4 linked regions of the Schizosaccharomyces pombe genome follow. The protein of the gene in region 1 purifies or fractionates together with the protein of each later gene. This does not show direct contact. Each region holds a gene or a part of one and is shown in the gene's direction. Other genes may lie near its edges. The genes, in order: rbm10, lsd2, ccq1 and sol1.

Region 1 (4,157 bases):
CCTGTCTATTTTACTGACGCTCAACGTAAGGCTCTGGAATCTGCTGCCAATGAAGCTGGACTTCCAGTTTTGCAGTTGATTCATGACCCGGCTGCTGTTATTTTGGCCTTAATGTATTCCGAAGAGGTTCTGATCGACAAAACTGTTGTGGTCGCTAACTTTGGTGCCACTCGCTCTGAGGTCTCTGTTGTATCTGTTAAGGGTGGTCTAATGACCATTTTGGCTTCAGTTCATGATGAGAATTTGGGAGGTGAGCAATTAACTGATGTGTTGGTTAATTTCTTTGCCAAGGAGTTTGAAAAGAAGAATGGAATTGATCCTCGCAAAAATGCCCGTTCCCTTGCTAAGCTCCGTGCTCAATGTGAGATCACTAAGCGTGTACTTAGCAATGGTACTACCGCTTCTGCTGCTGTAGACTCTTTGGCCGACGGCATCGACTTCCATAGTAGCATTAACCGCCTTCGTTATGACCTTGCAGCAAGCGCCACTTTAAATCGCATGGCCGATCTTGTAACCGAAGCTGTTGAAAAGGCAAACATGGAGCCTTTTGATATTTCTGAGGTTATTTTAGCTGGTGGTGCCTCCAATACTCCCAAATTAACTTCCTTGATGGAATCCATTTTCCCTGAACAAACTATCATCCGTTCCTCTAGTTCAGTTACTCCTTTGCAATTAGACCCTTCTGAACTTACCGCGATCGGTTCCGGTGTTCAAGCTTCTTTGATTGGGCACTTTGATGCTGCTGACATTGCTGCTTCTACTGATGCACAAGTGGTTGATGTTCCTCACCTTACTGCTCCTATCGGTATCAACGAAGGTGAGAACTTTGTTACTATTTTCGACATCGAGACTGCTTTGCCTGCTCGAAAGACTGTTGAGGTGATTGCTCCTAAAGAGGGTGCTGCCTTTATTCCAATTTATGAAGCTGAGCGTTCAGTAAAGGTTACCAAAGTTGAACCGGAGCCTATTGATGAGGAAGAGGCATTTTCTGATGATGAAGAAGAGGAGCCAGAGGAGATTAAAGAGCGTATCGCTATACCCAAGACTTTGATTGCCACCATTACTCTTCCTGATGTTTCTCCTAATGCCAAGATCGAGCTGGTTCTTCAAATAGATGCTGAAGGGAAATTAACGGCAAGTGCACGTCCTAAGGATGGCAAGGGAACTAACGTTCGTGGATCTACTGCATAATTTTGGCTTGGCTATAAAAAATCATAAAAATTTATCTATGTCATAGTTTTTTTTCTATGTCTGATCTGTTGAGAAGAGGGTTTAGGAAAGGAAAGCTAGAATAGCTGGTAGACTGTATTAAATTAAAATTAAATTACACGGCCATTTATGCATATAAAATGTTTGATTTTTTCATTCATGTGACGTAGCAATATTTTTCAAAAACTGACAGTTTAAATTGACTTACTGAAAGTAAATTTCATGTACTATACTTCAATAATTTTATTCAACTTCCACTTCGTGATTTATATTGAGAGAATGATATGATGTTGCTGCAAGGAAATGTTGGTGGTGATAATTTTATAAGTATACGACGACACATTCACCTAATACAAACAAATTATGTTTGAGATGGTTGGAATAGTTTTCGTTTAGTTATAAGACAGACCATTTTAAATAATTAAAACTCGTTGTGGACATGATGAAGGATTATTATTCAGAAAATGGTTTTGAAGAAATTTTTGAAGAGAAAGGTTCGACCAGCAGTAATATATCGGACAATTGTGCATCTAGAGATTACGATGTAAATATTAGTAGTGACAACCCTCGTTTACTCGATTCATATCGTCCGAAAGGAAATTATGGAAGGGACAGGAACTCACCCCTTTCTAGACACATCGGTGTTCCTAATCAAGAAATCATTCTTCAAGGGTTGACTCCGGAAATATTAGAAGAACATGTGTGATTCAGACTTAATTTTTATTGAAGGAAATACTAACAAAAATGCGTGAAGATTGAACTTGCGTTGTACGCCACGGGTGCTAAAGTTTCTACTGTTACACTAATAAGAGAGAAAGAAACACAAAAATCTCGCTGTTTTGCCTTCGCTAAATTTGTTTCCTTACAGGATTCTAAGGATTGGATGGAAGCCAATTTTCCAACGCTGGTCATCGACGGTATTGATGTGTCTGTACGTTTTTCACGTGCGGCCAGAGAGCAGATTGAGGGTTGGTGTTGCCAAAATGTAAACAATTTTAACAATTAATATTGTTTTTTCACATATAATTTTTTTTTACTTACTAACTGTTGGAGTAGTGTGATATTCTAAATTATTCATATAGAGAGTCTTGCTTCAAATGTCGTGTGCCAAGGAATCAGGCTTCGATTGCTATTGGAAATCATAAAATCAGTAAACGGAATGGCGACATGGATGTAAGTGATGTACCCTCAGTATACCTTATATTACGAAACCTTGACCGTTCACTTTCTGAAGAAACGTTATGGAAGGGACTTTCCAAATTAGAAATTGACGTCCAAAGGGTTTTCATGATTCGATATAAGTTTAATGATGCGTTTTGTGGTTATGCCATACTAGAATTTAAAGATGTAGATGAGTCAGCGAAAGCACTTATGAAAGCCCGCACGTACCCGGGAAAGGGCTTCACGTTAGCTTCTAGGAAAGTGTCTGTTGATTACATTCATGATGGAGTTTTAATTCCTGCATATACGGAATCTGCAAGATGGCAATTTCCTACAAAAACTGGTTATCTCGTTTATTGGGACCCAGAACTATATTGCTCGATCTATGTTCCTGAAGGCATTGATACAGATCAGTTTAAACCAATTGAAGTAAATAAGAAACCAAAAAAAGAAAAGCGTGCACGATCATCCAATTACATAGATGTACCTGCTTCTAAGAAGGTATGTGTCTTAATGTTAGCATAAACCTGCTGATATGTATAGGTTGCCACTTCATTGCAAAGATGGAATGATGCGCAGAAGGAATTAAAAGACAATATCCCTGATCTCTCTGAAGAAGAAGAAAAGTTGCTTTTACACTTTGTGTGGAAATCGGCTTTAATATGCGTTTTGTGTGAGCGAAAGTTTCAGAGTTGGGGCCATGTAGTAAAACATATTACTCAGTCTATTATGCACAACAATAATCTGAAAAACCACGAACTTGTCTCTTCTGCAGAGCTTTTGATGCACCGAGTTCGTCAAACTGAGTCTGTTGATTACAGAGATCGCGCTACTGAACGTCGAATAGTACCTGCTGCTTCTAGTGATACAATAGTTGAGGCTAAAAAGTCATCTCAGGGCTCAAGCTTTCACTCCACCTCTAATGTTAGCATGAAAATGCTTAATTCTATGGGATGGAACAAAGGAAGTGGTCTTGGTACTAACGAAAATGGGATCAAGGAAGCTATTCAACCGACGATGTATTTGCCCGGTGTTGGACTTGGCAACAAGGGGAGTAAAATACAGATCAACATGACTCCGGTTGACAGAGTGAAAGACCGAGCAAGGTCTTTGTATTTTCAAAATGATAAAAACAATAATTTATAATAGGGAATTTTTTTATTTGCGTCGAAAATCTCTTAATATTACAGTAATTTAATACCATGATTTTATGTCTCCTACTTATGCTTATTGTGTTTGAGGAAATACAAATTTTGTAAAGTATGGCAATTCAATACTAAACGTCTAATATTCTATATAAAGTAATTTCCCCTTGGTATATTAAAACATTGGAATTCCGTACAGTTTAAGAGAAACACTTTATTTTTAACCGTATATGCCCTTCAGGTTACATTTCTAAAGTTTCTATTATTTTGAAACTACCCAAAGTCAATCAAATCAGTACTGAGTTAAATAGGGTAGGGTTTTTATGTGACTGCTCCTGTAGATACAAAACAAGCATTTCGCGAAATTGCAAACTGTTTTTACCACCTACAGTTTATAAAGTAAAAGTAGTCCAAAACAGGTATGAAATATTAAATATTACAAGATGTGAGCGGAAGTCTATTGGTACATTTATTCTTCAGTGAATACTTGAACCCAATGGGTGGAACCTTTTTTTCTTGAAATCTTTAAACAAGACACTCAAGAAAACTAACGCGCTTCTCGTCAGAAACACAAAATGGTTCGTCAATCTGTTCTCGCTGATTGTTTAAACAATATCGTCAACGCCGAGCGCCGTGGACGTC
Region 2 (9,797 bases), 1.1 Mb from region 1:
TTCGTAATTAACTTTTTTACATATCACCAAAAAAATGGCTGCGAAACCTGCTCCTTTTGGCCAAAGTTGTTCCAACTGCCACAAAACTACTACTTCTTTATGGCGTCGTGGCCCCGATAATTCCCTTTTGTGCAATGCTTGTGGCTTATATCAAAAACATCGCAAGCATGCCCGTCCTGTCAAATCTGAAGATTTAAAAGACATTTCTCCACTGATACAGCAAGTTTGTAAAAACGGAACCTGTGCTGGAGATGGATTCTGTAACGGTACGGGTGGCAGTGCTTCATGTACTGGTTGTCCTGCTTTAAATAATCGTATAAGAAGTCTCAATGCTTCTAAGTCTCAGAGCGGACGCAAAAGTCTATCTCCCAATCCTAGCAGTGTACCCTCTAGCACTGAAACCAAAGCTTCGCCTACACCTCTAGAATCGAAACCTCAAATCGTTTCAGATACCACGACTGAAACTAGCAATGGCACTAGTAGACGACGTTCTAGTCATAACCAGCATGAAGACTCATCTCCTCCTCATGAACCAAGTGTTACTTTTTGCCAAAACTGTGCTACCACAAATACTCCTTTGTGGCGCCGCGACGAGTCGGGTAATCCGATCTGTAATGCTTGTGGTTTGTATTACAAAATTCATGGGGTACATCGTCCCGTTACCATGAAGAAGGCAATCATTAAACGTCGAAAAAGGCTGGTTTTTAACGGTAATGCGAATGAGTCGCAACACAACTTAAAAAGAATGTCAAGTGGGGATTCCGGATCTTCCGTTAAGCAACAGTCTACAAGGGATGGTCCTTTTTCTAAATCTTTTCCCAATGGTAATGGCCATGCTTCTGGAAATTCTGGTGAAGGTCTGGCTGAGCATGGAATGAATACTGGAGTATTACCTCCGGCTAGTACATTTCCTTCATACAACAGCAATTTTACCGGGTTCTTGCCTTCTTCGTTCAATCCTTCACCATTGATGACATTGTCACGGTTAGCGGCTGGTGAACCTGATAATAATGGGAAAGTTTATTACTCATATGGTCCTACTCAGGAACAATCAATATTGCCTCTTCCTGAGAACAAGCATGAAGGATTGCCTCCTTACCAAAATGAGTATGTTCCCAATGGTATACGAGCTAATCAAGTAGTATACCCTGGTCAGCTTGTAGCAGTTGGCAATGATTCTAGTAAGCAATTATCGGAATCTACAACATCGAACACGGATAATAATGGCGTTGCAACTGCCAACCAATCCAACCCCTTAGGCATGAAGTTTCATTTACCTCCTATCCTTCCTGTTGGCGAGTCAGTCTGTTTGCCTCCTCGAACTTCTGCAAAGCCAAGGATTGCTGAAGGAATTGCTTCCTTACTTAACCCCGAAGAGCCACCCTCAAATTCCGACAAGCAGCCATCAATGTCAAATGGACCGAAATCAGAAGTTTCACCTTCGCAATCTCAGCAAGCTCCTTTAATCCAATCCTCTACCTCGCCGGTTTCTTTGCAGTTTCCTCCTGAAGTTCAGGGATCAAATGTAGATAAACGCAATTATGCTTTGAATGTTCTTTCGCAATTGCGTTCTCAGCATGATTTAATGATTCAGGAGTTGCACAATTTAAATCAGCACATTCAACAAATAGATGAATGGCTGAGGTCCTCTGACAATGAAAATATGGCTTCTGAACATATTAAATCCTCAACCCCTGCTGTTGTTGCATCTGGAGCTCTTCAAACATAAACTTGATTGGCATGTTTGTCGTGCGGCATATTTATTTATGGTAAACAAATTAGATATTATCCCGTTTAGCTGTCTATTACTTACAAGCATGACATTGTATACTATGAGTTTAGGGTAAAATACTTCACATGATTCTTATTGGTCTTTTGTTTTGCGTTAGTTTTGGTATTGGCCAAGTCCGTCTGCGGTGTTATATTCGTTAAGAGCTGGAAAATAATATTCAGTCCTTAGCGATTTACCGTTAAATTTAGAGTTAACATATATGTTTTTAATGAAATCCTATGTGGAGCATTTTTTATGATATTAATACGCATCGAAAAAGCAGATATTGAGAAAAAATAATACTACCGGATTTATATGGTATGTAGATAGTTAATATATTAAATATATTTAAACTGCCCGAGTGCAAACTCATTTGGAAATTGTCAATTCATTAATATATTTTTACAATTTTTCGGGGGAAAAAACATTTGTATACAACTATTTAAAACGGAAAATGGAGTTGCTTGTAAAAAGCAGTATCCATGGTTAATTAGTTCATTCGCAAAAAGTCATTGCTTGACTTTTAAAACTATATGATTAGGCTGAAATTTTAATTGTTCATTACAGCACATATATAAAAAACTTACACTTAATTTTCAGCTCAAATAACTTCGCTATTCATTATTTAATCTATTTAAATCAATAATAATGTAATTATGATATATATCATTTAGTTTTTCTGTTAACAACCAACAGTCCCGTGTTCTAGTGGTATGATTTCTCCTTCACACGGAGAAGGTCCCGGGTTCGATCCCCGGCGGGACTAGACTTTTTGTAAAATTCAACAATAGCGAACTTGAACCATAATGAGATGTTTTAGTATAATATTGATAAACAGTTAATCTACACTACTACTCTAAACATCCTAAGCTTTTCTGAATCTTAACAGCAATGTAACATATTTTTGGATTGTTATAATAATTTACTCCATTTGTTCTATTCTCCGCTGACTATACTTTCAAGTGTATTGTAATATTGTTTTCTGCAAGTTGAAATCAACGAGTTTAGGTAGTAGTCTTTAGCATGAAAGAGCTAACACATTAATGCAATAATTTGGAAAATGAATACAAATTAATGAACTTCACATTTTTCGTTCATCATTTCCAAAGTGTTAAGCCTGTAGAAGAGAGCAAATGCGATCGTAGAATAATACTCGCAATATGAATCAGATAAATAGGCAATTGAATGCCTCTCGGGCGTTCTTCATGGTATTCAAATAATTAAAGACACATGTATTATCTAAAAGAAAAATATAAATTCTGGATAGTCTGATAGATGATTGATTGGACTTGACATAAAAATGCTTATAATATTTGTCGTTATCCCATTATGCTATAATATTTAGAACGATATTTTTTTAACGAATCGTTAAGGATATGTTGCGCAAAGTACTTTGTAAACACCAAATCGAGATTCAATGAGATTTTACCACCTCGGTTCACTTTGATTGTATCTTTTTACTCTATGAACACGAGCGAGAATGATCCAGATGGTCATTATGACTTTCCAGAAATGACAGAGCATCATTCTGACCGGGCTTCATCATATGCTAACGCCAACAACGTTAATTCAACTCAACCTCAATTGGTGAGTAGTGAACAAGCGCTTTTAGCTATTTTAGGAGGTGGATTACAGTCTATCACACCTAATTCTGTTAATCAGAACGCGTATTCAAGGTCAACTTATCGTACAGATGGCGGCTTAAATTCACAGCCAGTTAGCTCACTGAACAATCAATGGGGAAACTATAATCCAGCATTTTTACCTTCTAGATATGATTCCTCTTTTCACCCTTACACAATTTCGCAAGCGGCTAATCAACCATTTCCTCAGCATCTTTTAGGCAATTCAAATGCAGGTGTCGCTCAGCAGTCTGGAATGAGAACAATTGGATTACCTCCAACTGTAGGTTCCTCTTTTCCTCAACAAAAGTCATCCACATACGAAAACTTTTTTGATGCAAACTCTCCGTCTTCTCAGCAATTTCCATCTACATATCCTTCACGATCACAAAACCCGCTTTCTTCCAGTGGAGATGGTTCAACGGCAATTCATGCAGGCCCCATTCAACACCAAAACTCAAATGCCTTTTCCAATTATCCGTATCCATTAGACGCTTCTCATTTATCTTCTCAGCAACTTTTGTCGATGTATCGGGATCAAGTTTCTCATGGAGTTACCCCATCTACATTCCGCAATCATGAAAGTTTTATGCCTACACAGTTGGTATCAGCAACAGAATTATCTAAAAGTGTTGATAACGCAGTTTTGCCAATACCACCTACTACTGCACCGGCAGTTGTATCGCCTCCTGCTTCATCTTTCCCTTTAATGTCTTCAGCTGCTACATCTGGTAATATTAGTAGTCCTGCACTTTTTGATTCAGAGTTAGGTGCTAGGCCTGAAGGTTCTGTTGCAATTGAGCCGTCTAGAGTACTGCTACAATGGTCTAGTCAATCATCATCTCATACTATACCATCTGCAGGAGCCAGTATCCCTACATCTTCTTTAAAGTCGTTTTTTGAGCATGCCGCTGAAGCAGCTCGTAAATGCAATCTCGATCCGAGGGCCTTAGAAAGTTTTGAACAACACATGCTTTCTGATCGTTTACACGATCCCGTTGTATTATTTCATTATTTCCAAATTCGTAACAGCATTTGTTGGCTTTGGATTAAAAATCCTACGCATGCCATATCCAGAGTTGAAGCTCAGGGCGTATGTGTCGATCGATGTTTGTTCCAATTAGCCTCTTTAGCTTATGAATTCCTTGTAAGGTATGGATATATAAACTATGGATGCTTGTCCTTTGATTCATCCTTTACGAATGAAACTAATACTGGCACAACATCCAGTTCTGCATCGAAGCAGAAGACTATTGCTGTAGTAGGCGCTGGTCTTACTGGTTTGATATGTGCTAGACAACTTACTGGCTTATTTTCTCAGTATTCTTCATCTTTTTTGTCAAAGAATGAGCTTCCTCCTAAAGTTATTATACTTGAAGCTAAAGAAAGGACAGGAGGTCGTATTTACTCTCGAGCATTGCCTGTTTCTCATACTTCGGCTACCCAAATTAACCATCATACATCTAATTCGAATTCTATTTCTAGTAATTCCACTTCTTTAAACCCCAAGGATGTTACTGACCCGTCCCATATTCCTTCAGCAATTGATTTGGGATTTCAATTTTTATTTTCGCCTATGGACGATATTTTGCTTAACCTTTTAAATAAACAATTGGGTATTGAAGTTACAGAGATGACTGGCTCAGATTTAGTTTACGATGAGACCGATACTAAAGTATTAGACATGGTTGAGGTGAAAAAATTAAACATTTTATGGGAAAAACTTTTGGAATATGTTTCTGTTTGCTTTTTTATTAACGTTGAGGAATCTGTTCGTATTTCTTGGATATCCCAATTTCAGTTGTTTATAGATGAAATGTTCCCTGATCATTTGTCCAAATCACTCTCATTAAATGCGTCACATGAATTTTCCTTCAAAAAAACAATGCTAATACTAATTGATGAAGTTTCTTCTTATGCCAAACTCGGGAACAGTCAAAAGAAATTTCTGATATGGTGTTTTAAGGTCGCGGAATTGGACGATACTTTGTACCCTCTTAACACAGTTGATACAGACTTCTCCAAAGATATTTTGATTCCAAAAGTTGCTAGAAGAGGTCTATCTCAACTGCCATGGGCATTACAATCTTATCCATCTCCCTTAAATATTCATTATGAGAAGTTTGTATCTAAGGTAACTATTGAAAATGATAAATGTACCCTTGATTGTAAGGACAACTCTTCTTATGAGGTTGACCAAGTTGTAATTGCTTGCTCTCCTTCTCATTTTTCTTCAAATATAGAGTTTTCACCAGGTCTTCCTAATTTCGTGACTGAAAACATAAAAAGTATAGATTTCAAACCCGGAAAAAAGGTAGGTTTTTATTTATTTATTTTTTTTTCAATTATAAAGTTAACATTGAGCAGGTTATTCTTCGTTATGCAGCTGCTTTTTGGCGAAAGAACATTAGATCATTTGGTATTATACCAAAATCATTAAGTCAAGAAATGAACAATGATGAGAATGATGGTAAATCTTGTTTTGTTTTGAGAATATGGAATATGCTTCCTGAAACTGGTGTCCCAATATTAGTAGCGGATATCAATCCACAAATGACAAGTTCTTCTTCTAACGAGACCTCCCACTTAATTCAAGAATTACACAGTCTAATAGTAGATCATTTTCAAAATGATTCAAACAGCTCAGCTGATTTATTAGATGCTTGGGTCACAAACTGGTCGAGAAATGGTGTCTATGACGGCTTAAATTCTTATCCAAATTTTGCCAATGATAAGCAGCAATATGAAAAAAGATTTAGGCAAAGTCAGTTATCGTATAATTTGGGTCGCTTGCATATTGCTGGAGACTATATATTCAGTTGCGTAGGCTGTAGGACATTACAAAGATCCTTTTTATCTGGCCTTTCCGTATGTACAGGGATTATTGATTCATTGGCTCCAATTTCCTTAACCATACCTATCATTGGAGAAACCTCTCGCAAAGAATTGGATCAGTTTTTGCGAAACTCTAAAGTTAATAATTTTGATCCCAATGCTGAAGCACAGCGTCACCTTTCTTATCAGGCAAGATATAGGTTGAAAAAGCAGGAAAGACTTGACGAGCATAAGGAAGAACAGGAACAGCTTGTAACTGAACTTCTTGGTTATTTACCTGAACCTCCTTCCAAGCCGAATGCAAATCCCTTTTTACTTTACCAAAAAATGCAGTGGCATGTATGCCGTGCACTTGCTGATGAAGACAAGCGAAGGTTAACAGGAGATAGTACAGCGAAGGCTACTATTAATGAAACACGTGCCAAACTAGGGAAAACTTGGCGCCAGCTTGATGATTTAGGTAAAAAACCTTGGATTGATGAAATTGCAGCACAAAGAGAAGCTTATGCTGGAAAAATTCTTCGTTATCAGCGCCTAACTAAAGAATATGAAATGAGAGCCGAGCAAATACGAAATGATTATGCGGCCAAATGCCAAGATGAACCTATTCCCGATGATGAAGCAAGATTGTTTATGCAAGCTCAACGAGAAGAAGAGCAAAGAAAACAAACTCAGGATGACAACATTTCCAAAAGTCGAGAGGCTAGCGACGAAGAGTATCATGACGATGGATCTTCTGATTCGGGTTATAATGGAACACGATATTAAAAGAAAAAAAATCAAATCACATATTGTTTTTTAAAAGTTTAGTTACTTCGCATCATTACAAATACCCTTAAAATTTTATGTACATATATATTCTCGTCATGCCCTAAATGAAGCATTTTATCAAATTGCTAATTTCAGCAAATTGTTTAAGGAAAATCTAAAATACATGTACACTTCTCGTTAGCCAGTAGCCAACCTGATTTAATGCCGAAGATGTAAGAGATAAAAGATGATATCGTAAACACAGCTACTACTCTCACTCTTTAGGATGTAATGCATGTTACCATTTTGCCATTAACATAATATTCAAGCAACAAATGATATTACTAGTACGCTTGTGAAATAAATAAAAAAATAAGTTATTAGAAAAAAAGTAATTAAAATTAACTAAGAATCATTAAATTAAGCCAAAACAGATGCGGTTGTATTTGTTGCAGACACCATGGACACTATGTATCTCAAAGCAAGTACTACAACGAAATAGTTAAAAAAAAAACATAAGATGCATATGATATTAAAATAAAATAATATAAAAATGCCGAGTTATTGACTCCAGTCCATATTTGGACATGTATAATTAAAAGCATTATCCAAAAGTTAATAGGAGATGGCATCTCAATTGTCAAAAAAAAAGTGGTTGTTATAAAGACTCGTAATTCAGGAAGTCTGTTATAAATAATTAAAGAGACTGTAAGACTTCATTGATAAGAACATCGAATTCTTTAGCATACGCCATGTTCAAAGCGTGTGGATCTTGTAGCATATTGTCGTCAGGCAAAGGGGAGCTAAGACTTGAATCTGAACAGTATGATACGGAATTAGATCGTTCATAACCCATTGGCAAAGTAGCTAGATACAGAGCATTGGATGAACTTCTTCTGGAAGGCGATACGGCACAGTGATTATTATGAACTTGATCTTCAGCAGTAGGCAAGCTTTCAGAAAATGATAGATTTCTATGACATGAAAGAGCTGAAAAGTCACCGGAAGAAGATGACGAATGACAAACTGTTGTAGCAACAGTCTTACCAGGAATACTGTACATATTGGAATTCTCAACCACCTCTTCTTCATCCATAAGGTCGTTTGGTTCAATCTTAAAGGTCAACTTCTCACCAGGTGCTAAATTGACAAAGGTGACGTTGTTGTCTGGTGAACAAATGGTAGAAGGAGAAACATTAGAATTGGTGAGTGGAGAAGATAAAGGACTAGGTTGATTTCCTGCCAAAGATGGAGGTGAAACGCCGTGTTTAACAGGACAAAACGAGGCAGTCGGAAGTGAGGTAATGCTTGACATTCGACGTTGAGAATTGAAAGAGGTATTCGGGGCAGTGTAAGAACGCTGAGGGAATTTATAAAGCATCGGAGGACCGGTACCCGAATTATTATAAGCATTGGATTGCGAGTCAAAACCGTTGGATAGGGTTACAGCGCTACTAGGCGTACTAGGGCAGCAAGGCGATGGACGTGACGATATGGAAAGAGGATTCTCATAATGTGACTGAGGACTGAGGTATGACTGCTGATTTTGATACATAAAAGCAGAAAACTGAGAAGGAGTAGGTGGAATGGGGGGTGACATGGAAATGGGAGTTTGAGGTGGATCTGAGGCTGAAGAAACAGAAAATTGACGGCGGGGAACGAAAGGAGCTACTGAGGAAGAGGATGAAGATGGAGCTGTCATGGATGAATTATACTGGAAGTAGGGATTAGGAACCATAACGGGGGTATGAACGGAATTCACGGAAGAAGAAGAAGATGTAGAAAATTGAGAAGTATGAGTAGCAGAAGAGGTGGTAATGGGAGCGGGGTTGGAATTGAAGGAAGGTTGTTTATAGAGAGATGCAGAAGGAGTAACGGAATCAAATTCCGGAAGTTGGAATGTCTTAGCAGAAGAACCGAACGATGAATTAGCACTCAAAGGTTTACCGGCCAAATTTGGAGGAACCATGATGAGTTCAGCCTTTGCACTTTGAGAAGAGCCAAGAAAGGCATAACGCTTACTGATAGTGGCTTTGAGCATGTAGCAAATGTTGACCATGGAATCATTGGACTTGGAACAAGGAAGAGACGAGGCGGATTTAGAAGGAAATTTAAATTTGAAGTCAATGGCATGAGACTTTGAAGAGGGACCTGCTGGTATAGGAAGAGGCTGAGAATGAGTAAAAATTTCTGTAGCTTCATCGGAATCGGAGGCAGAAGCAGTTGTTGGATGTTTATGGGAAGGAGAAGACAAGAAACCATGATGATAAACAGCATAACCCTTGATGCGAAGTTGAATTTGAAAGGAACGAGGAGAGGTAGCGGCATTTGTTTCAAAGCAAATTTTTCCGGTGATTACACGGTCAAAGCTATACGTCGCAGAATCTAGGATTATTTCCAAAAACATGATGGGTACGGAAGTACAGAAATTGGTAAGTAAGGGACTGGTAAAAATGAGAAGAGAGAAACGGAATTGCTCTGATAAGAAGAGGAGAGGGGAAAGGATAAAGAAAATGAGAGATGTTGAGAAGGAATAGTCAAATCAACGTGAACGTGAAAGAAGAAAGAGAGATTTTAAAGAAATAAAAAACACACTAAACACTAAATCTTGGAATAAAAAATTTAATAACAAGAACTCGATTTTCTTTTTGTAAACAAGAAGAACGACAACAAAAAGGTAAAGTATATAATGTCTAAAAGCTGGAAATTGAAGAAACAGCTAAAACAAAAATCAGAAAACGAAACGCACAAACAGATAGAGATAGTTAGACTGCGGAGTAGATAGACATGTAATCTTCTGAATTGAGCTAGATGAGGAG
Region 3 (6,691 bases), on another chromosome or scaffold:
TCATGCTTCTATAGAATCTTCCACTTAAGTTCATCTCTGCATTCTGTTCAAATATAGCTTCCAGTTGCCGTTAGTTCTAATTTATGCTTTCTACGTACAAGCCTTTTGGCCTATTTTTAGGTATCCTTCATTGTTCAAACTAGTAATTAGATTAATAAAGCACAAATTTGAAACTTTCAAGAAGCTTTTTCATGTGATTGCATAGAATGAGAAAACCCAAAACTTAATCCTAATCGGCTAAAAAACTATGTTCTCAATACACTACCATTATTAATATACAATAAATCCAATTCTCATTTTACGAAGCAAGAGCAATTAACATAAGCTAACCGAGCTCTTAAGAAATCTGCAAATAATTGTCGAGAGCAATCATACAAGGATGCTTCACGTTTACGGTTTAGCAAACTTTGCTAGCTCTTCAGTAGAAATAGAAACAAATTTTACACAATTATAAAAGCAAACGTTAAGTAATTAGGGAAAGAAAAAGGAAAACGAGAAGGACGATGAATTTTTAATGCATATATTTTTATAAAACAGTAAATAAGGTATTAGAGTAAAATATGCCATATGTGAGTACATTATAATAACGAGGGAAGTAAACTAACGTCTTCGAGGAGGCTTTTGCATATTTTGAAATTGATTGAGCATACCGCTGAAATCCATACCACCTGCCCCTCCGGGACCTCCGCCTCCCATCAACATGTTAGCCATTTTTGAAATATCACCAAAGTTCATAGAACCTGGATTGAGGCCAGGCATTCCTCCCCCCATACCCATGGCTTGCATTCTTTTCTGCATAGCTGCAAGTTGACGAGGGTCTTTTTTGAGAGCTGCGGCTGGATTTCCACCAAGTTTACCCAAAATTCCATCTTTTCCTCCTATCTTTTTCGCCATTTGCGCAAATACTCGGACCTGAGAAATGGTTTCTTCTACCTCTAAAACGCTTGTACCACTACCCCTTGCAACACGTAAAACACGAGAGGGTTGTTCAACAAATAGAAGACCATCCGAATCTAACTCTTGTTCGGTCATTGAATCAACGATGTAGAGCATACGCTTCATACGCAAAGATCCCTCCTCATCATTCATACCGTTCATCATATTACTCATGCCTGGAATCATACTAGCCATTTTACTAAGTGGTCCCAATTTCATAATATTTCCGAGTTGATCTCGAAAGTCTCGGACCGTAAACTTTCCTTGCTCAAGATTTTTAACCATATTCTTTTTATCAAAATCTAAAGACTGAACGTGTTCCATCAGACCTTCAAGATCACCGAGTCCGAGTAGCTTTGAGATAAAAGAACGTGGAGAAAAGCGCTCCAAATCATTAATATGTTCACCGGTACCAATGAACACGATGGGTGTCTTAGTCGCAGCCACGGCGGATAAAGCACCACCACCTTTGGCATGTCCGTCCAATTTTGTGATTATTACAGCGCCAAAGTCAGCAGTCTCTTTAAACGCTTTGCTTTGAGATTCGGCAGCTTGACCAATGCTAGCATCTAAAATCATAATTGTTTGATCTGGGCGAATAGCGTCTGAAATTTCCACCATCTCAGCAAACAACTCCTGCTCCTGCTGATGCCTACCAGATGTATCAACGATGATAACGTCAAATCTATCGTTTTTGAACTTATCAACACCTTCCTTGGCAATAACGACTGGGTCAGTCTCGGTGTAACTACCAAAGTAAGGAACACGTGCTTTGATAGCATTCTGCTTTAATTGATCAAAAGCACCAGCACGGAAAGTATCGGCAGCAACCAAACACGATTTCAAACCTCTCCTTTGGTAGTGCAGAGCAAGCTTTGAGCATGTTGTCGTTTTACCACTGCCTTGTAAACCTACCATCATGATCACTGAAGGTCTCCCTTTTTTAGGAGTAAAAGCATCAACTTTAGGGTCAACCAAACTGCAAAGTTCATCAAAGACAGCCTTCTGGACGATTCGCTTCCCATTTATACCCTGAGGCAAAGTTGATACATTGATTTTTTTCTTAATATTTGAACGTAATTCTTGAACCAATCGCACATTAACATCTGTTTCCAAAAGTGCCGTACATATATTTTTCAGCAGAGTATCGACAAGCTAAATAAAATTATTAGTAAAGGTTCGTATTAAAACGATAGATATCCTAATCAAAACAGAACATTGGGAAAACAAACTAGAGGTCATTAAAAAAATCTTCAGCTGCCTAAAAGTTGCTTGGTAAGTAAACCCTTTTAGTAACTTGAAACCAAAATCTAACATTGCATTATTAAAAAGGGTTTTAAATTTTCATGTCAAGGTAACGTCGATGTAAACGAAGATAATCCCAATATGCAATCAAGATATATATATATAAGAGATTGGATAAACCAGCTACGCAACTAGAAAAGCATATCTGTGGTAGATGATTTTTCTTATCGACAAATTTCGTAAAGCATGAAACGATGTTCATATACAGCGTGTAAAACATGGCAAATGCAAAATTTTTGAAGAAATCAAGCAAAGATGTATTAAATATTTTTATAAATGACATGGCTCACTCTCCGTATGAGAACAAATTTTCGATAGAATAAAACATACCTCTTCATTCACTGAAGTGGCCTTAGAAAAGTCCCCTAACGCAGAGTTCAAACGACGCCCTAAATCTGCAAAAACCATTTTGTCAGATTAAAAACTTCCAACCAGGCAATTTGAAGTTCGTCAAATGTGGTTGGTAGAGGATGAAGTCGTTAAGGACATGCAGTGTCTTCAAGCGAAAAGTCAATAGACAATTGAGGCAATATGATAAATGCCTAAAGATGAAGTAAAGAAGAGTTTGATATTATCTTTTTAAAAAATATTTTCACTGAGTTTAATACCGAGTTATTTCGCCTGCAAGCTTTTTATTGTTTTCAGTATAGGTGATATATCGACAGGATAGCGCAGCACAGCATTCCTATATAATACCTTGTTTGTATAATATTTTAGAATTAATCTATAGCAAAAGTTCAGTAGGTATAATCTTAAAAAATAAAATACTTATTAAGATTATACTCATGTGTAAAAGTGTTTGACTAGGTCCTGACAATTATTGATGCTTCTCTTTCTCACATTTGTAATAGAAACACGAATCGTAAATTCCGTGGTGGCTAACTTTGTCCCACAATCTTTTGATTCATACTTGCTGTAGTTTGTGTTTTAAGACGCTAATAGAAAAAGATCTAAAAGATTGATATTTGAAACTTTTTATATATTTTTCAGGCGTATGTTCTTATTCACCTTAAACTTTTTTGGAATTTTTCGTGCGTTAATCCAGCAATTAGTCTTAAGATCCAGTTTTTCCAAACTTCACGAAGGAAAGCACTTCCAAGTCCTTATAAGAGCCAGAATGAATTGCAATTAGCTGTTTTTTCAATATAAGACTAAAGATAAAGAATCGTTAACCCCTTAACACAAAATTTGAAAAAGAAATAACATTTACTACGCGTTATGGGTGAATAGTTATATTTGTTTACATAATAGACTTAAATAGAGAGGTGACGCGTTACTTTATTAAAATAAAGATTTGTTATATGAAAAAAAGTAATTAGAGCTCTTTTAAATGCTGTAAACATTTTCCGCTACACAGTGTATTTCGTAAAAATATGTACAAATTTAAAGGCGAACACGGAATTCTGGGAACAACATTTGGGTGGTTATTTGTAAAAACGATAATAAAAGACTCTTTTTAGACCATCTAATTCCTCTAAACGTGCGAAAATTATTTCTTTTCGGACGCTAAATTGGTCTCGTGTTGCAATATTTAAACATTCAATTTCTTGTTGAATTTTAACGTGGATGGCAGTATGAGCGAAATTAACGACTTTACGAATTCAATTATTATCAATGAAAGTGATACGAAATACGAGGTTTACTCTGAGGTGAATTCCAGTAATAGATGGATTGCCAAAGAGGATTGCCCTAGCCCGTTGGAAGATGTATGGCTTCTAAAATTAGCAGGCCATAAGAGAAAATTGGAAGAGCCTCTAAGTTGCATGCGTAATGAAGAACCTGCATCCAAACAAAGAGAGATAGAAAAATTTTTACGGACTGATTTGGATCACTCTGAAAATGACTTTTTAACTCAAGAGGTCGATGAATTCCCTTCTACCCAGCAGTTATTTCCTATTCCTTTGCAAAATGACACTGCCTTTGATTCTTCGGAAGAATCTATTACTAAATCTTCTAAATCCTCGTTCAGCGTGCTAGATATTGGCCTTCCAATGTCTGCGCTTCAAAGGAAAATGATGCATCGGTTGGTTCAATACTTTGCCTTTTGTATTGACCATTTTTGTACTGGTCCTAGCGATTCAAGAATCCAAGAAAAAATACGTCTTTTTATTCAATCTGCTCATAACATTGCAAAGCATCCTAGTCTGTATGATACTGAAGTTCGAAATCCCTCCGCTGCTGAATCCACTAATTCCCACGTTTCTTTAGATGCTTCTAATTTCTCTTCATATGCCGAAAATTCTTCAAAATTTCTTTTTTTGCAAGAATTATTCAAAAATCTTTCCCCCTCTTATTCTAAGACATTTTTTTTATTTATCTCCAACCAATTTCTTGCAAACACACTTACTCAATGGCTAAAATCTCAAAACATTGATGCTGAGTTATGGGCTGAAGAGGATGCAAAGACTAGCCAACATCCAGCAATTTGGATTTGTGTGTCCAAAAAGGCTCCCTCCGCTTCTCATTTTCTTCAATCTTGCCCAGATTTGAGTGCAACCATTTTTTATGATATCGAAGCATACATGAGTGTCACTAGTTCCTTGCCCTCTATTCAAAGCCTTGTCCTTAGGCTCATTCACTTGGGATCTATAGAACATGCCATAAAATGTTTTCAATCATCTTACAATGCCTCATTTTTAGTGAACATTGTGGGTGTGGTTGCCACTCTTAGTTCTTCTTCCGAGGAAAATTCAGAAGCTTCAAATTTGAGCACTTTGTTTGAGAAATCTGGGAACTTTGAGGAAATCCTAGGCTCAGAATCTCACTCTTCTATTACAGAAAAAACTCGAGATATTGCTAAAAATGTTGCGACCTGGTTAAAAAATGGAGAAAACTTCTCTTCTTGGCCACTACCTCCTCTAATGGATTTAGCAAGCTTATCGGTTGCAGAACCAAGGGATTCTCAGCCTTCTGTTTCTCAGGTGAACGATACTTTTGTCAAATCATCTGATAGTACATTTCCTTCGTCGCAAAGCATGCAATCACCTTCCAAACTCCACTCTTTAACAAGTAATGCCACCGATTTACTGTCATCAAGCTCACTAAAGAAAAACTTTTTTTCTCAACAGGAAGCTGATGAGGTAGAACTTTCCAATAATTATGATCTCCAAGGTGCAGCTGTCCAATACCTGCAGCGTCGTTTAAGAATGGTAGAAGATGAATTACACGAAGCCATTAATTCCAAAAACGTACAACAAAGTCGCTCAGAGGAGTTGGAGCAGCAAATTTCTAAGCTGACGGATAATTTACAAGAATACAGAAACACTGTTCGAGAGCTCAAGCTGGATTTGGAGAAATCGAAGAAAAAGAATGAAGACCTTTCAAAGCTAGAAGTTGAGAAGGTTGAAGAAATCGCAAACCTTAAAAAAGAGCTTACCCACTTAGCTAAGCAACAAGAATTTGGCTTTAAATATGTACAAGAATTTTCGAATGAAGATCTACAAGGCAAATTAATTGAAGCCAACGAAAAAAATTACAAACTTACTCAACTGTTAAAAACACAGAAAGAAGACGCTGATTTCATTACTAATCAATATCAAAATGCATCTACTTTTGCTGCTGAGCAAAGCAAAGAGGTTGCGAAACTTCAAGCTGAATGTAAGCGCTTACAAGCTATAAATTCTAAAGTTATGGAAGAGGTAAAAGTTTATAATGATTCAAGGGTAGAAGCATTACTCGCTAAGGTCTCTTCTCTGGAGGAGACCTTAAAAATTTTAGAGCAGAAGTCTCTTCCCAAATTTACTCCACATAATCAATCACCAAGGATTATTGATTCTAACTAAATCATTAACGATCAAGAACTTCAGTGGAATCAACTATAAAAAGTTCGTTTAGTCATACGGTTATTTGATTAAATTATGTCGTAATCAGCTTTTAATGAAACAATTTTAATTGTATTAATTTTTCAACAGTTGCAAAAATATATTGGTTTTCTTCATATATTCATCAAGAAGTTAGACATTTCGTTACATACTAGATTCAATGATCTATGTCATTAATTTTGAATTTGTTTTTGAAAGATTTTAATTGTATCAAATTCGAATATGCATCCTCAAAAGATGCAATATCAACATTGATGAAATAATTTTTTATGCTTCATATCATTTTGTTATGCTCGCAATATCGAACCTGTATAAAACTTCATGCACCTTATGCTCAACAGGTAAGGACCAAACAACCAGCAAGGATTGTAAAGCCTTTAAATACTAATTTTTCATCTGAATAGCACGGTCGAGTATATTCGGCTTCTTACTATCTTTCTTAGCACGATCCAAAGCCAATGTACCGTTTAGTTTTTCAACAACATCATATGTAATGTCTTCATCATTCAAATAGACAACTCTATTGTTATCAAAATCCACCACACAGAATTTAATAACGCTGAAAATGCTTTCTGGATACTGTGTGCGAGCTGCAAGACGTAGTTTTGTATCGATGAATTTTTCCTGGG
Region 4 (8,254 bases), on another chromosome or scaffold:
AAGATATGAACATGATTATGACGAACAGTCAGCAACTGATCTAATGCTATTGCAGCGTATGTGTAAACGACAAAGCTGGGCATTTCCAAAAAGCGTAAAATTGTAGGGAAAATGTCAATAAGCTGTTGGGAATTTAGCTGGTTGCGAAATGTAAATACATATTTAATATCCTCGGCAAGAACCATGGGATGAATGACGCCAGCAGGTTGTAAAAGATCCGGCTTAATATTATTCTCGAAAAAAGCAACAACGTCTACCATCAAATTAATAGATGTAACGCCGAGTCTTGTGGATTGACCCTTTATAGCAATAGCCGAAAAGAGCTGAAGCGCTACGTATTTTTTATTCCATTCAAGAGAAGGATTTGTTGAGAATTGTTGAAGATTAGCATTGATGTGAGTTGAGACTACACTCGTAATTTTTTGATCAAAGTGATCCAAAAGTCCACGAACAAGAACGATTGCGGATCTGGCGCGAGAATCACTGTTCGAACCTTCAAGATCACGGCGGACATATTCTAAAGGATCGTCTTCAAATAATTCTTCATCAGATTCCCGCAAACATATATTAGGAAGAACGACGAGTTCAATGAATTGTTGTAAAACTTGGTCTTGCTGGAAAAACTCGGCATGCTTGCGAATTCTAATGACGGATGTCAAAAATGCCATAGCCTTACCAACTAAACCATCGTATTTTTCATCAGGAGTCAAGGTTGTCAAAAGTGTCCATGTTACGTTGACGAAGTCATACAACATGGTAAACACCTCTTCGTATCGAAGGGTATATAGCTCGACGATTTCACAAATACTTGCTTTAACTTTAATAAGGACATTTGTCTCTCCTTCGTCACCCTCCAAGCTGGGGTTAGTGTAGGTAAAGTAGTTTAAGAAGGCGGTCATGAATTCGCTCATATGATCTTCAAAGAATTCCGGAATGTCTTGGCAATTCAAATCATAAAAAAGTTTACACTCCAAAAGGATAACCTGAAATAAACTGTTAAGAGACTCTGCATCTTGTGGACCGTTACGCAATAAGTTGTTGGTTTGCACGAAGAGAGCGAGAAATGGTTCGCAAAAACGATCCAACACATATTTGATCTCCAAAAAAAGTGCATCGCTACGGAATAAAGGTCTCCAGCGCTTAAAAATCGCATGTGCAGTAGAAAGTACAGCAATATTCGTGTTCATGTCAACAGCAGACAATTTAGATATCAGATCGGGGAGAAGAGTGTCCCACCGATCAGGGAAATCAAAGTTGGCAATATAACCAATTACTTCACCTAGCTGAACTTGAATAATGGTAGTACTTTTCAGCATCAAGTTGATTATTTCGCGTTTGATCAATTCTGCCACCTCATCGCTGATACGAATAGAAGCACCTTCCTCAGAATCCCAATGTTTTTTAATGTAATTTTTGAAATACAATGAAGCGGCCAGCTTAATATTGATGTCTACTGTATCCTCAGCGACAATATTGAGGAGTTTTAGTGCAAAAGAACTATCTTGTAATTCCCATACTTTCAGTGCTTCCTCAGCTATATCAGTTAGTAAATTTGCTTTATCCACTCTGTTGGGGTATCTTACCACTTTTGGAAGTCGTAGGGTTTAATGTTCTCGCAAGAAGAGTTGGAATGTCATCCATAGTTTTCCTACAGGGATTGTGGTTAAGGGCAGATTTTGAAGGACACCGACGTAACTAGAACAATTTCTCTAACATCGTTATAGAGAATTTTTAATTCCGGTTTTATTTATTAAATAATTTTCTCTTAAGTTTGATATAGTTAACATCTTTTAATTAGTTTGTTTGCTTCTTTTTCAGGCTTGTTAATGTAATACTTTTCTTCGCTTAATTTTTGTTTTTTTTTCTATTAAAACACCCTAATATACCAATATTTGTAAATAAATAGTTGGACTATACTTGATAAATTACTTAAAAAAGGAATTAAAACTAATAAAATCTATAATTCATTATCAATAATTCAAGGGTTCACATTTTAATTATCAGCTTGTAAATACCTAATTTCCGAATTACTTGGTTTTAGTTTGCAAGCTCATTAAACATTTTATGAACCGTCAGAATAGAAATCGCTTTATACGTGGACTTGAAAGTTGTGTTAGTTGACTTTTGTTTCAAATCTAATTCTTGTTTATGCCATCAAATTCTACATGTGCAATATAGCATCTCCATCTTTATCTCAAATACTACAAACCTTTTTTTATTGTAGTATTTAGTTTTTTTCCTTCTTGAATCGGATATTCCTTTTGCGAGTTGACTTGAAACCATAGATTTGCAAAAGTAAATAATTAAGTCATAAACATATATATTTTACACGTACAAGCCCTTGTCCATAGAGTTCAACAACCTAAATCCAATTGCTTGATAATAGAAATTACCATATTCTACTATCTTGTTTCATTCATCAATAGGTTTACACATATGAAAGCACGTTTATAGAAAACAATGAAATTTATAAAATGACATTGCGTCGAGTCTTATGTAGCCAGAAAGAAAGAAGGAAAAATAATGAATAAAAAATAAAAAAAAGGTTAGACCAGATAAATTTGAATTAATGTGTCAATTTTGATTGCTCCTTTCAAAAAAAAAAAAAAAAAAAAAAGAAAGAAAAGGAGGATAACGGGATCTCGAATATGTTAACTCATATGCTTTTACTATTTTAAAAAAAAAAAAAATAATTTATTAAAAAAATATCTGTTTCCGCAAGAAGAAGATGTTGTACTCGTGATTGTTTACAGTTTCGCCAAGTCTACTAACAGAGCAAGTTAATAAATATTGTTTCTATTACAAGAGGAATAAGATATTATTTTGTTTTTAAAATTTTAGATACCTGACTAATCGATAAATGCTTCCCAATGCTAACAATTGTCATTGACTTGGAAATAAGAGACACTGCAAAGGCAAGAAATCACGTTTGCGAGATTTAAAGGAATGAGTGTAAAGATTTTTTAGGAATTTAAGCATTTTCTGAAACACACAGATTAGGTTCTTAAAGGCAGCACTAAACAACTCGTTATATGCACTTCGTCTGCTTTTCAAGCACTTTCAGCTGCCAAGCGCCTTAGACGTTAATATATTGAAACGTGTATTTTAAGGTCCCTTTACTCTTTGTTTGATTTAGTATGAGGAATCATGAATAATCAAGGGTTTGTTCCTGCGAGTGATTATCCAACCGCAGTATCATATCCCACGCAAGGTCAAAGTTATAATACTCAGGAAGAACAACCTGCGTATCCTCAACGCTTTTCGACAAGCCAAGGGATGTATGCAGCAGAATATGGAAATGCAAACATGATGAATACTTCCGAGAATGAGCCTAACAATTTGGCTCATTCACAGCCCTTCCGACAATCTCCATCAACTCAACGTAATTTGCCAAATCAATCATTTGATTTCGCCTCTAACGGTGCATGGAATGGCTCTGGATCTGTGAAATACTCTAGTCCCATGATGCCTTCAAGTCGGATCCCGTTTCAACAAGAAAAAGAGGCTGCAATGCAGCAGCAACAACAACAGCAACAGCAGCAACAACTTTATCAACGACAAATGCAAAGCAGAGAGGCCTTACTCTCTCAACAAATTCCTCCTAATCAAATTGGCATCAATGCCCACCCAGCTGTAAGACAAACTCCTCAACCTGCACCTTCCCCAAATACTCCCTCTGGTAATGCTAATCAACTAACGCCTGCTTATGCTGCTAGTTTTGACAAATTCATGGTTAGCCTTATTTCTTTTATGGAAAAGCGGGGGACGCCAATCAAATCTTATCCTCAAATAAATAATACGCCTATTAATTTAATGATGCTGTACGCCTTGGTTATGCGTGCCGGTGGATCTCGACAAGTCTCAGCTCATAATTTTTGGCCAAAAATTTCTGCTTCCTTGGGGTTTCCATCTCCTGATGCTATTTCCCTTCTAATTCAATATTACAATTCCTATCTGCTTCCATATGAAGAAGCATGGCTTGCTGCTCAACAGCAACAAAAATCACTTCAACAAGCAAAAGCTAATCATTCTGCGAATGTTCAAAGCAGACCAAAAAACTATCCACAAAAGCCGGTCCAAACCACCCCAGAAGCTGTACATGCCAATGGTTCTATGCATGGATCACTTCACTCAAAGTCACCCTCCCCAGCATTCACCGCTAATCGTTTCTCTCCAGCTGCTCCTACCACAGTTAGTTCTGAAAGAAATGCTCCACCATACCCTTCTGCTCCGACTCGACCCACTCCGCCCACCGTTCAAACTTCTTCTTCGGCAGCTCCTGTTGATTCTGCCGAACCCGTTGCTTATCAACCGATAAAAAAGCCCATCGATCCTATGTTGGGTTATCCCTTGAATGTCGCGGCCACGTATAGGCTCGATGAATCTTTGCTTCGGCTTCAGATGCCTTCAATCGTAGATCTGGGGACTGTAAACATTCAAGCCTTGTGCATGAGCCTGCAATCTACTTTGGAAAAAGAAATAACGTATGCAATGAACGTTTTACTTATATTAACAAATGATCAAAAATGGATGTTTCCGTTAAGTGAGTGCCAGGATGTAGTTGATGCGTTGATTGACGTTGCAACTCAGTGCCTTGATAATCTGCTATCTGTTCTTCCTAATGAGGATTTAATGGAAATCGCCGATAAACGTCCTTCTTATAGACAACTTCTTTACAATTGTTGCGTAGAGATATCGCAGTTCTCCAGAGAAGACTTTTCAAATTCACTAAGCGAAAACAAAACAAAAGATAGCATCAATGCTATTGATGTTCATAATTCGGAGCAAAATTTGTTAGCTGTTTTCGTTATTTTTAGAAATCTCTCTCACTTTGAGGCCAACCAAAACGTTTTGGTACAAAATCCAGATTTTTTTCCTCTACTCATTCGTGTAGTCAAAAGTCTTAATTTTCATGCCACTTCCCTTCTACGTTCATCAAGAAATACCTTGGATTTGCATAAAGATGTATTAATCGTACTTTGTCAACTTTCTCAAAATTTCATTCTACCGAATGTCGACGTTGCTCGTCACGTTTTACTATTTATTTTGTCTTTTTCTCCATTTAACAGAAAGAAGAGTAAAACTATTTTAAATGACACCCTTCCAACCTCTATACCTAGTTACACACCTGCTACCCATCCCTATGCTGGTCCCGCCATTAATGCCTATGCCAAATTACTAGCCAAAGATGCTAACAACAAGACAAACTTTCAAGCTATTTTTGATAACAATCCAAAATTTTTAGACTCCCTTTTTCTACTTCTTGCTTCTGTTGTCCCAAAATTTAACCGCCACTGCCTTAAAATATGCGAGCGAAGGTTACCCTTATTGCAGCAGTCATTTTTTTGTTTAGCAGCTACCGTTTCCTATGTTAAACAATCGGAACAAGCGGCAAATTGGTGTAATATAGGCGAGGGATTTTTTGTTTCCATGTTACGCCTACTCATACTATTATCAGGTCATCCTTCCCTTAATCCACCATCACGTGTAGCATCGCAGTATCCTACTACGAATCCTTTTCGTTATGTGATTCAGAGTGGCATATCTACGGTGCGTCGACTTTTGAGCTTAGTGGAAGCTGGAAATATTTCATTATCTTCTTTCCCCAAAAGTGAAACTCTCCTCGCTGTTTTGCTGGCTCCTACAACAGAAACCTCGTTTCTAAAAGAGATCTCAAATTTATTGGATCGAACTGGGGACAGTGATGCGTCTTTAGAAAATACGGATGATAAATCTGGCATTTAATTTGTAGATAATTTTCCAAACGTTTAATATTTTTGTCTTCATTCTAGTTAATCTGATGCGTTTCTGTATGTATATTGTCTAAACATGCTTTCAAATTTTTAGAGATGATTTATTTACTTTATAGAAAGACTACTTAACCTATGTAGAGTTAATTGCCATTCTACGCATTGCAACAATTTTATTAAGAGTATTTTCAAGCAATTCTAAATAGACTGAATTCAATAAATCAACCAGACTACAATTTCCATCACAACAAGAAAAAGTTTAACTACTCTATATTGGAGAACATGATAATCAACCTTTATCACCACTACAACTACAAGCCAAACACAACACAAAAAAATTTAATTAAAAAAAAAAAAAGGAAAAATTTGCAAGATCAACATCAGACATCCAAAGGAAGGACTATGCACGACATCTGCGGCAAAATTGGGTTCGTATGCCGCTCCGGGGAAACTGCGAATGTTCAATGGAAATTTCATCACCTGTTGATCAATGCAAAAAAAAACCTTCGCCGAACAATCCAAAAAGCAATACAGCACTATATATGTTTATAACTAAAAGGATGTAAAGTCCAATCTCCACCATAACTCGTACGTACAGGAGTAGCTACACGAAAAACACACATTATTTTCACCATACAGAACATACACGTTTAGTTCGCGAGTTTAAGCATAGCAAGAAATTTGAAAGTTTCGCACAAATACACCTAAAAAAGAAGTTAGTACACTGAAAGATTATACACAATACAGAGATTACTAAGATACTGGAACAACGAAAACAATTCAGACATCGAAGATACTGGCAAGTATGGTCTCCACCTATAGTGGAGACAAAGTTATCGTCATAGTCGATAGGACGGGTAAAGAAGACATAATAATATCATCAGAACAGCTTCGTTGTACTCAGACATCAATCAGCATACGGCGAACATACCTTTACAAACAAGTTTAACAAGGCACTTAAAGAACGACAAAGATTCAGTTTGAGTTCAAGGTTTCAGTATGCGTACGGGATTTACCCCCTACTAAGCTTTAACACCCAGTTAATCTCAAACTATAGTCAAAAAGATACCACAGCAAGCGCAAAAAGGAATATGGTAGGTTTTTCTACCAACACAGTACCAATTACTGCACCAAGATGACTTAATCCCAGAAAAACAATAAAGCAACCATACACGACAGACATACTGTACAATCAAACGACTAGAATCAGACTAGAATCTCTCCAAAAAATACAACACAGATACAGGCGAACGCTTTCCAAGAGCCTGAAGGAGAACCATCCTAATATCAATAAATGTAACACACAAAATACAAGCCATTTACGATAAGAACCTAAGCCTTTCAACATCAGATAATCAATCAATAAACCTCTTGTCTCCACTACTTTGGCGTCCTAGCATATTAATTTGATGTGGCTCCTTCAGACTCATGGAAGTAGAACGTTGGCTTATGAAGGCGTCTGATCGGTATATATACCTTTTAAAACCCTAACCCTGCTTCATCCTCAAATTTCTGGAAGGATGTGAGTGGTTGGGGAAGAAGTGTGTAGCAACCGTTGACATCGCTTGTGTCCAAATATGCACTTTTGCGCATTACGGTGGTGAGGTTTGCAGTACGGTATATGGACAGAACGTTTTAGAAAGTAGCAAGTTGGAGTAATGTAACAAACTATAACAAAACAACTCTACAACACTTTTAAATTCGATATGTGTTTATAACATATTAAAACGCGAAAAATGGAAGTACATTAAATAGGACAGCGAGATTTTTATTTTTCTTTATTCATCGTTATATGTTTTCTTTTCACAACCAAGAACACACTTTACAGTTCTCATCTAGAAAATCATGTGTTGAGTAATCTATTAAAAATTTCACAACTCTTCGACACAAAATTTTTTTATACCTAAAAAATCAATGATAAATGACCGTAAAAGAATTACCTGCTTTTCCTTTTCTTTGAAACTAACTCTCGTTTCATATAGTCAATTTTGTTACCTCGTTACACTCACGTGCTATAGTGAGAAATATTTAAAGTAAGTAAATAAAACAGCTAGAGAAACATTAATGGAGTAGTAATTTTCGAAAAACGATATAGAAATTAGACCAAAGAATGAATTAGTAATCAATTTTAGTTCTAAAAAAAACCATATTAATTGTAATCAGTATTATCAAGAAATACTAACTGTGCTGTTGTTCTGTATAACGAAAAAATTTTGATGAATGATTTCTCTTGCAATATCGCATTCATTGCTTTTTTTCAAAATAAAGTAATTCGAGATACATCAACTATATCAAATCTTTCCTGAAATCAAGCCTTTTTTACTTAATTTATAAACATTACACTATGCGACACCATTTAAAAAATTTTTTTTGGTTGATTTCGAGGTATACAAACACAAAACTTAATACCGATGCAAAATTTTTATTTCAACAATATTTAGTAAGGGCAATGATTTTGATGATCTTCAAATTCAAGAACTAATCATCAAATAAGTAATAATGTA

Evidence for each region.
Region 2: the proteins of rbm10 (region 1) and lsd2 purify together in Schizosaccharomyces pombe (affinity purification with mass spectrometry, with the first as the bait; one study listed by BioGRID). This does not show direct contact.
Region 3: the proteins of rbm10 (region 1) and ccq1 purify together in Schizosaccharomyces pombe (affinity purification with mass spectrometry, with the first as the bait; one study listed by BioGRID). This does not show direct contact.
Region 4: the proteins of rbm10 (region 1) and sol1 purify together in Schizosaccharomyces pombe (affinity purification with mass spectrometry, with the first as the bait; one study listed by BioGRID). This does not show direct contact.

The regions. Positions count from the first base shown.
Region 1 is NC_003424.3:1,512,123-1,516,279, reverse strand, and holds rbm10 (RNA-binding protein), read left to right. Parts: upstream 1-1,545; 5' UTR 1,546-1,651; coding exon 1,652-1,909; intron 1,910-1,963; coding exon 1,964-2,194; intron 2,195-2,265; coding exon 2,266-2,871; intron 2,872-2,913; coding exon 2,914-3,516; 3' UTR 3,517-3,597; downstream 3,598-4,157. Other genes in the region: ssz1 (putative heat shock protein Pdr13), read left to right, coding at 1-1,191; rps2202 (40S ribosomal protein uS8), read left to right, coding at 4,091-4,157.
Region 2 is NC_003424.3:443,535-453,331, forward strand, and holds lsd2 (putative histone demethylase SWIRM2), read left to right. Parts: upstream 1-3,235; coding exon 3,236-5,707; intron 5,708-5,760; coding exon 5,761-6,996; 3' UTR 6,997-7,192; downstream 7,193-9,797. Other genes in the region: Fe-sensing transcription factor Fep1, read left to right, coding at 35-1,729; meiosis specific arrestin family membrane adaptor Ste7, read right to left, coding at 7,676-9,385. UniProt on the Schizosaccharomyces pombe protein: Catalytic component of the SWM histone demethylase complex that specifically demethylates H3K9me2, a specific tag for epigenetic transcriptional activation, thereby acting as a corepressor.
Region 3 is NC_003421.2:1,482,488-1,489,178, forward strand, and holds ccq1 (shelterin complex HEAT repeat subunit Ccq1), read left to right. Parts: upstream 1-3,652; 5' UTR 3,653-3,815; coding exon 3,816-6,023; 3' UTR 6,024-6,191; downstream 6,192-6,691. Other genes in the region: signal recognition particle subunit Srp54, read right to left, coding at 601-2,091, 2,572-2,649; ubiquitin hydrolase Ubp5, read right to left, coding at 6,447-6,691. UniProt on the Schizosaccharomyces pombe protein: Component of the meiotic bouquet that facilitates meiotic nuclear reorganization of the telomeres to the centrosome. Links telomeres to the meiotic centrosome component pcp1. Essential for the formation of normal telomere clusters during meiotic prophase.
Region 4 is NC_003423.3:1,306,618-1,314,871, reverse strand, and holds sol1 (SWI/SNF complex subunit Sol1), read left to right. Parts: upstream 1-3,069; 5' UTR 3,070-3,147; coding exon 3,148-5,745; 3' UTR 5,746-5,800; downstream 5,801-8,254. Other genes in the region: karyopherin/importin beta family nuclear export signal receptor Kap109, read right to left, coding at 1-1,534, 1,584-1,641.